Linked DNA regions of Elephas maximus indicus. The protein of the gene in region 1 interacts with the protein of each later gene in a pairwise test. Links are inferred from orthologs where the notes say so. Each region holds a gene or a part of one and is shown on either strand. Other genes may lie near its edges.

Evidence for each region.
Region 2: the proteins of SDCBP (region 1) and MEOX2 interact in a two-hybrid assay, tested with the Homo sapiens proteins (2 studies listed by BioGRID and IntAct). The link is inferred for Elephas maximus indicus from reciprocal best matches to the Homo sapiens genes SDCBP and MEOX2.

Annotation. Positions count from the first base shown.
Region 1 is NC_064833.1:85,377,374-85,381,119, reverse strand, and holds the start of SDCBP (syntenin-1), read left to right. Parts: upstream 1-975; 5' UTR 976-1,068; intron 1,069-3,746. UniProt on the Homo sapiens protein: Multifunctional adapter protein involved in diverse array of functions including trafficking of transmembrane proteins, neuro and immunomodulation, exosome biogenesis, and tumorigenesis.
Region 2 is NC_064826.1:76,480,568-76,484,313, reverse strand, and holds the start of MEOX2 (homeobox protein MOX-2), read left to right. Parts: upstream 1-1,137; 5' UTR 1,138-1,424; coding exon 1,425-1,938; intron 1,939-3,746. UniProt on the Homo sapiens protein: Mesodermal transcription factor that plays a key role in somitogenesis and somitogenesis and limb muscle differentiation. Required during limb development for normal appendicular muscle formation and for the normal regulation of myogenic genes.

The sequences.
Region 1 (3,746 bases):
AGAAGCCAAGCAAAGAAAAAGCTTATCCTGATGCATAACTGTTTGAGGTTTTGTCTTAACCGGGACTCCACGTTAAGGACCAAGTAAGACCATATACATGAAGTTCTTATAACGGTGCCTGGCGTATAATAAGCATTGTTTTCATTCTGTTTTCGTGTTAGGATACAGTTATGACTTTTGCGCGGTACCACACATGCCCGCATCAGCCAGCGGACGTTAGCTCAGGTGAGCCAAGAGTAACAAATGCCACAGCGAGCAGCGCAGCAGAAGAGCGGCAGCAGTGGGGACGCGGGAGTGAGAGGACCGCTTCCGAGCCTGCGGGCGGAGCGACGCGGCGGGGAGAGAGGGCTGGGCGGCGGCGAGGAGGGCGTGGGCTGGCCGGGAAATGGGGGACGCGTGGGGCCCCCAAGCCTCTTTCTATTGGAGGCGACGGGAACCAAGGGAGCGGAGAGAAGCGCAGTAGCGAGGGGGCGGCATCTGTCCCTTGACGCAAGGGCCTTGGGCATCAACAGCAAACGGGGGGAAAGAGGAGGCGCGCAGAACCGCCGGCGGCCGGCGGACCTTGTGGGGATCAGCAGGCCGCCGCGAGGCCCCGCCCCCGGCCTCCCACCGCCCCTGCATCGCGACGCCCCGCCCCCGGCCTCCCACCGCCCCTGCATCGCCCCGCCCCCGGCCTCCCACCGCCCCCGCGACGCCCCGCCCCCGGCCTCCCACCGCCCCTGCATCGCCCCGCCCCCGCGACGCCCCGCCCCCGGCCTCCCACCGCCCCTGCATCGCCCTGCCCCCGGCCTCCCCCCGCCCCCGCGACGCCCCGCCCCCGGCCTCCCACCGCCCCTGCATCGCCCCGCCCCCGGCCTCCCACCGCCCCTGCATCGCCCGGCCGTCGGCCCGTTACCAAGGGGACCGGTCACCTGACGGCGGCGCCGCGCCTGCGCGGGCGGAAGGCGGGGGCGGGCCGTGACGGGCTTGTGGGCGGCTCCTCGGGTGTTCGCGGTGCGGCTCGTCTGGGGTCCTGGAAGTCTGTTCCTGGAGCCGAGGAAGCGGCAGGCGGCGGATCCCTGGGCCTAGGTGAGCGGCTCTGGGGGCGGGGCGAGTCCGTCGCGCGGTCCGGGCGCGGGGACGAGGCGCGGCGGCGCCGAGCACCTAGCGGAGAGCGTCCGGGGCCCCGGTTCCGGGAGGTGAAACCCTTAGCCCACCCCTTAGCGCCTTTCCGCGCCCCGGGCCCGGGCGAAGTTGGCGGGCGCGGCGCCTTCGGGGTCGGCCAGGTCCTCCTCGACCCTTTTTGTTCCTCCCGGTGAGGTCTCCAGGGACCAGTGAAGAGCGAGCCGCTGCTCGTGACCCGTCGCGGGCTTCGGTTCCTGGCTCGGACATAATCTGCCCTTGGCGGAGTCGGCAAGCCCGGGGTTTGGAGGAGGAAGGAGGTGTTTGTTTAGTGGGCGAAGCCTGGCTTTCGGGAAGGGATGGGGGAGAGGCTGTGCGCTGATTTCTGGAGAAGTTGGACGAAAGGAAGCCGCAGCCGGTAGGGTGTGTTCACAAGGAAATAGCCCTTGAGATCTGGTGACTCACAGCTTTCCTTTCAGGATTTCACTGTAATAATAAAAAAGTGAAACGTACGGATTTGGAAAGTTTTCTTGTTCACCAAAGTGGAATTACTGAATCATGGGGTCTTACAATGTGCCGATTTTCGAGGGAAATTTTTAGGTCTGTGTAGTCTGTATATATTACCTGCGCGCAAATTTACTGTTATTTTCTCCGTTATAAAAGTAATTACTTAGAAAGTACCCTTAGCTTGTCACACTCTTTAACATCCACTGCTTCCAAGGAGACAGTTGATTGGAAAGGAAAATTACATCGAAAAACAGCTGCAGTCTTTGTAAGTTAGATTTACCTCAGATCTATGTAAGTGATTGGTTAAAACTTAAATTTGTCCAATCTTTTCATTTTTCTATTTGAGATTAAGAACAAACAGCCCAAAATGTGAGTGCCTCATTTTCTCTGTTTCCAAATTAGTTCTGTAAGCTTTTGTGCTTTGAAGGGTAGGTAAATATTAGAGGTCAAGTGGTTTGTGCCACAGAATAAAAATAAGAAAGCGAACAACTTTTAAAAGCTTCAGGAAGTAATTATTCAATTGTGATCCCAGCTTAACTTTGGCAGCATTAATTTTTCTATTTTGGGCGTTATGAGAGAGGATATAAAAATCATTGACCAAAAGCGGCTGAATTTAGCAAGAGTTGGCACTTAAATGTACTGTTCAGTAAAATAGTTCCTTAAAATGAGCGAGACTCAACTTTTTTTTCCCCAAAAATTAGGCACATTTTGGGGGGGAGTAAATGCCCGGAGTTTCTAAAAAGAGGCTACGCCATACAACTTTAAAATATTTTTTACATCTCTTCGTTGCCGTGGAGTCGATTCTGACTCGTAGTGACCGCATAGGACAGGGTAGAGCTGCCACACAGGGTTTCCAGGGAGCCACTGGTGGACTCGAATTGCTGACCTTTTGGTTAGCAGCTGAACTCTTAACCACTGCAACCAGCAGGGCTCCTTCAGTTGCCTTCACAATGACTCTGACTCCTGGCGACCTCGTGAGTGTTAGAGTAGAGCTGTGCTCCATAGGATTTTCAATGGCTGATTTTACTGAAATCGATCGCCAGGGCTTTCTTTTAACGTGCCTCTAGGTGGACTTCACCGGACAGCCTTTTGGTTAGAAGCTGTGTATGTTAATCTTTTGCACTACCCAGGGACTCCCTAGTTATATTAAGCCAAAAAAACCAAACCCATTGCTGTCCAGTTGATTCTGACTTATAGCGACCCTATGGGACAGAGTAGAACTGCCCCCATAGAGTTCCCAAGGAGCGCCTGGTGGATTTGAACTGCTGACCTTTGATTAGCATCTGTAGCACTTAACCACTACGCCACCAGGGTACTAGCATTTATTAATTTATTTATAAGTGTTGCCAACTTTTTTTGTGTGTAGGTTTATTTACTTTTTTGAGAAAGAAATGCAGTCACTTGGTTCAAAATTTAACTAAAAAAGGTATGAAGTCTTCGTCCATCTGTGTCCCCTTGCCAACCATTTTCCCGTCTTGTAGGCAACCAACTTTTAAAAGTTTCTTAGGTATCCATCCAGGTATAGTTCATACCTCTGTAAGAAAGCGTGTTTAAGTATACTTTCCCCTTCCTTTCAGTACCAATGTTAGCATACTATATACATTGCTCTACACTGTGCTGCTCTTCTTCTAGTGTCTTCATGCTCAAGTGTGTTGTAGACTGAAAACCTGAATGGATATTGCTGGGTGGAGCGTATCGGCATTTATAGTTTTGATGGATACTGACAGAGGCTGTACTAGTTTACACTTCCACTAGTAATGTTTGAGAGTGTTTCTCCCTTACTGTCAGTGTATTGTCAAACTCTGAATTTTTGCCAGTCCAAATCATATGGGTAAGAAGAAATTATTGTACTCAGAGTAGACTTCAGTGTGGCCGTAATTTCTCAGCAGTTAATCATCAGAATCTCCCTGGATATTTATTAAAAAGACAAGTTCCTACGTCCTTCCATGAAGTTTTTCATTTACTAAATCTGTGTCAGCCTGGGAGACTGTTTTTAACTAGTGCCCCAGGTAATTCTGATGATTAGCCAAGTTTGAGAAACATTGCCCTGGCAGGCCGTAAAGGACTTTATCAGAGTGTGTTCCTTGACACCTCTTAGTTATCTAGTTCTGCTATGACAGAAATGCCACAAGTAGATG
Region 2 (3,746 bases), on another chromosome or scaffold:
GCAGCGCCTGCCCCTTCTTGGAAAGAAAATCGAGTACAGCCCTCTCTCGCTGGTAGTTACCGGTGGCAAGTTTTCTAATTTTTTTTTGAGGGGGGAGGATGCAAAATTGTTACTAGGGAGGCCCAAAGCCCCCAAATTTAGTAAACTTGGGGTGAGTGTGGGGAGTGTAAATGGACCCATGGGGGGATGCGAGCAACTGATTTATGTTTGAACGGAAGAGAGTGGATTGCTGGAGGGAAATGAAGGGACTAGGGCTCCTGAGGGGAAATGTGCGTGCCATCTACACATTTCATGTGATCGAGAAGAGAGCACTTTGTAATATTCCTGACCCAGGAAAAGTTCTCCTTGGTGGGTAAAAAAAAGTGACCAGGAAATTGAGCGGGACCAGGAACGGGTACGGGTAGCGTTTGCGGAGGGCGGGGGGGGGGGGGGAGGGAAACCCCACCTGGCATCGCAGGTGAGGATGCCAAGACCTGGGTATCTGCAACTCTACCCGCCTCACGCATTCCTCTCACCCACCCCACCAGGTCCTTCTCCTTTGAGCACAGAGAGCTGCCGTTTCCCGTTCGCGTGAACATCCCTGCAACCTCGGATTTGGAGCCTATTAACAACCCGCCCACAGACACCAGCGGCACAAGGCTGGGAGCGCTGCTGCGCCCAGGGCGCAGGAACTTTCGAAGTTTGAAAAACTGACGCCTCGGAGCGCGCGCCAAACTACCGCTGATCTTTTTTCTCTATGTTATTGGCCCTTCCGTGCGTTTCCTGCAGGTGACAGTTCCCAAGTGGCTTTGACAAAACATGTTTCCTGAGAGAAGTGAGCTAGTTGAAAACTGGGTGCTGGGTTGGGGCTGCGATGCGCCGCCGCGCGTCTTTGCCGATTGAGCCGCAGGGAAGAGCACTGCCGGCCCAGGCTGCGACCTAGGCGCCAGGAGCACCGCTTGCAACTTTGGCGTCTAGCAAGGTTGTGACGGGTTTAGAAGCACTGCGTCCGCCCAGCGCGGAATAGGAAGTGAAACTCCGAGCGCGCAGCGCAGACTGAACGAGGGTTTTGGAGGGAGTTTGCATGTGGTCAGCGCTGGGCTCCTAAGCCAGCCCCCAGCTCACATTACACTCTATTTATAACCTCTCAGAGCAGTTTTCCCCTGAAAGCAGTTCTCTGGGACCACCTTCTTTTGGCTTCAACCTCTCCTCCTCTTGACATCTGAGTAGCTCAGTGGAAAGCTCCTCCAGGTCCGAGTGTTTATATGTAAAGGAGACTGGCCGCTAAGGCTCAGGACCGGGATTATCCCAGCTCTGCAGAAACGCGCGGCTATTGCTGTGGGAGGGGGGTGGGGAAGTCACAGTTTCCAGTGAAAACTGACAGAGCTTGGTGGCTTTTGGAACCTTCGTGAAATCTTCTGTCTGGAACCTGAGACTTGCATGCTATGGAACACCCGCTCTTTGGCTGCCTGCGCAGCCCCCACGCCACTGCGCAAGGCTTGCACCCGTTTTCCCAGTCCTCTCTCGCCCTCCATGGAAGATCTGACCACATGTCCTATCCCGAGCTCTCCACTTCTTCCTCGTCTTGCATAATCGCGGGATACCCCAACGAGGAGGGCATGTTTGCCAGCCAGCATCACAGGGGTCACCACCACCACCACCATCACCACCACCATCACCACCAGCAGCAGCAGCACCAGGCTCTGCAAACCAACTGGCACCTCCCGCAGATGTCCTCTCCCCCGACTGCGGCTCGGCACAGCCTCTGCCTCCAGCCGGACTCTGGAGGCCCGCCGGAGCTGGGGAGCAGCCCGCCGGTCCTGTGTTCCAATTCTTCTAGCTTGGGCTCTAGCACCCCGACAGGAGCTACGTGCGCGCCAGGAGACTACGGACGCCAAGCGCTGTCGCCCGCGGAGGCGGAGAAGAGAAGTGCCGGCAAGAGGAAAAGCGACAGCTCAGGTAAGGGCGCGCGGGACACCCTCGGCGAGAGTGTGCACGGGGCTGGAAAGGAGGCGGAGAGATGCCAGGGAAGATTCTGGCAATACAATGAGGCAACAGGAAAAATGGGACCTGTTTGCCCTTTCTGGTTCTCCGTAGACTAATTCAACGGGGCCGTTTTGGTTGTGTTATGGGGTGCACGAGTTTTTCTGTGGGCAAAACAAGTGCAGCCAGCAGCTTTAAGCGCTCCAAGGTCCCATACTAGTTCATCAGAGGGTTGAGAAAAAAGGACAAGTGACATTACTGAAATAGATTGCGAAGCTTGTCCTTCCGCCCGAGGGGTGGGGAGGGAGGTGCGCCAGGGGATGCTGTCTCCGCCGCCGTGTGCGTGCGGGTGCCACTCCTTGACTTCTCCTTTGTAAGTTCCCGACTCGGAGTTGCTCGATTTTTCCCATCGTTAACTCGATTTCCAAATTATTGCACAATATTTGGAACTTGCAGTGGAATTTGGCAGAGCGCATGAGAAAAAAAAGTTCTAGTTTTTTTTTCTAAATTCTTATTTCAGAGTTCTTTAAATAGCACTTTTTTCCAAATGGTAAAAAAAAAAAAAAAAAAAAAATTATCTTCCTTGAGGAGAAAGACAGTATCTAGGAATTCCGAGGATTTTAAGCAATGTGTCAGAGAATTGTAAAGAAATAAGTAGATGTTCAAACTCTTCAAGAAAGAGAATTCTTAATAGTAGTTCGCCTTCTCTGGGTACTCATCTAAAGAGAAAACGTTGAGTTGCAAAAGTGGAACATAAAATACTCCTCTAATTGGGTATTATCTGGGGACAATTACTGTGAGGCAAAAAAGCAACTCCGGTAGTTTTGGTTTGCTGCGTGCCTGAAGCTCATATGTGAGGGTGAGCGCAGGAACCACTGAATTTTATGGAGATAACTTGAGTAGCCACGCAAAAGAGGAGCCTTCCTCAACTCCGGTGCTTACGGCACAGCTTGCCAAGTAAATTTTAGTAATTCTGAGAAACAGACTTTTCCAGAGAGCTCTTAAAAGCCCTTACCTATCTGTATCTTACGAAATTGCTGAATGATACTTAATAGTTGCATTTTTGAGTTTTCTTCTGCAGCTGCGGCGCGACCTGGGTTCCATCTTTTTGGAAAGTGTCACTTGTTTAATGTATTTGCATATTTATCTTCCTTTGCGAAATTGGTTTAATAGTTTCAGAAGGTAATCCTAGGTAATGGTTTCAAGCTTTGAAAATGTTTATTCTTTATAAAGCTTTAGATAAGATCCTACATAAATGACAATGACTGAGCCGCGGATTTCATTTCCTTAGCAGCAATAGTATCAATCTTCAGGGCTGGTATGGACTACAGCCTTCTGTCACAATCTCAAAACCTAACTTTTACTTTTCAAGGTCAGGAGTGAATTTCTGATTTTTCATACCAAAGTAGTTTATATCTAAGAGTTACCAGCTAAGTCACTCATTTTTAATGGATTTTACTTAGTGTAAGTGAAACTCTCAAGACAGTGAGTTAAAAGGCTAATCTTGCAGGAAGGTTTACATCTTCATTAGGAAAAGGAAAAAAAAAAAGGTCCTTTTGGAATACAGTAACGTTTTTATAGACTGAGCATTTGACAGTGTAACTTTGGGAAAGCAGATCCCAGTTCAGATTGGTCAGTCTACTTTTACAACTACCAGAAGCTCTTACCGTTCATTTTACTCTCTGCAATGAAAAATCTATGTGAGGGATTATTCCTTACACTGACTGAACTGAACCAATGCACCTAAGTTCCTTAGGACAAACTGCCTTTTCATACAGATACAT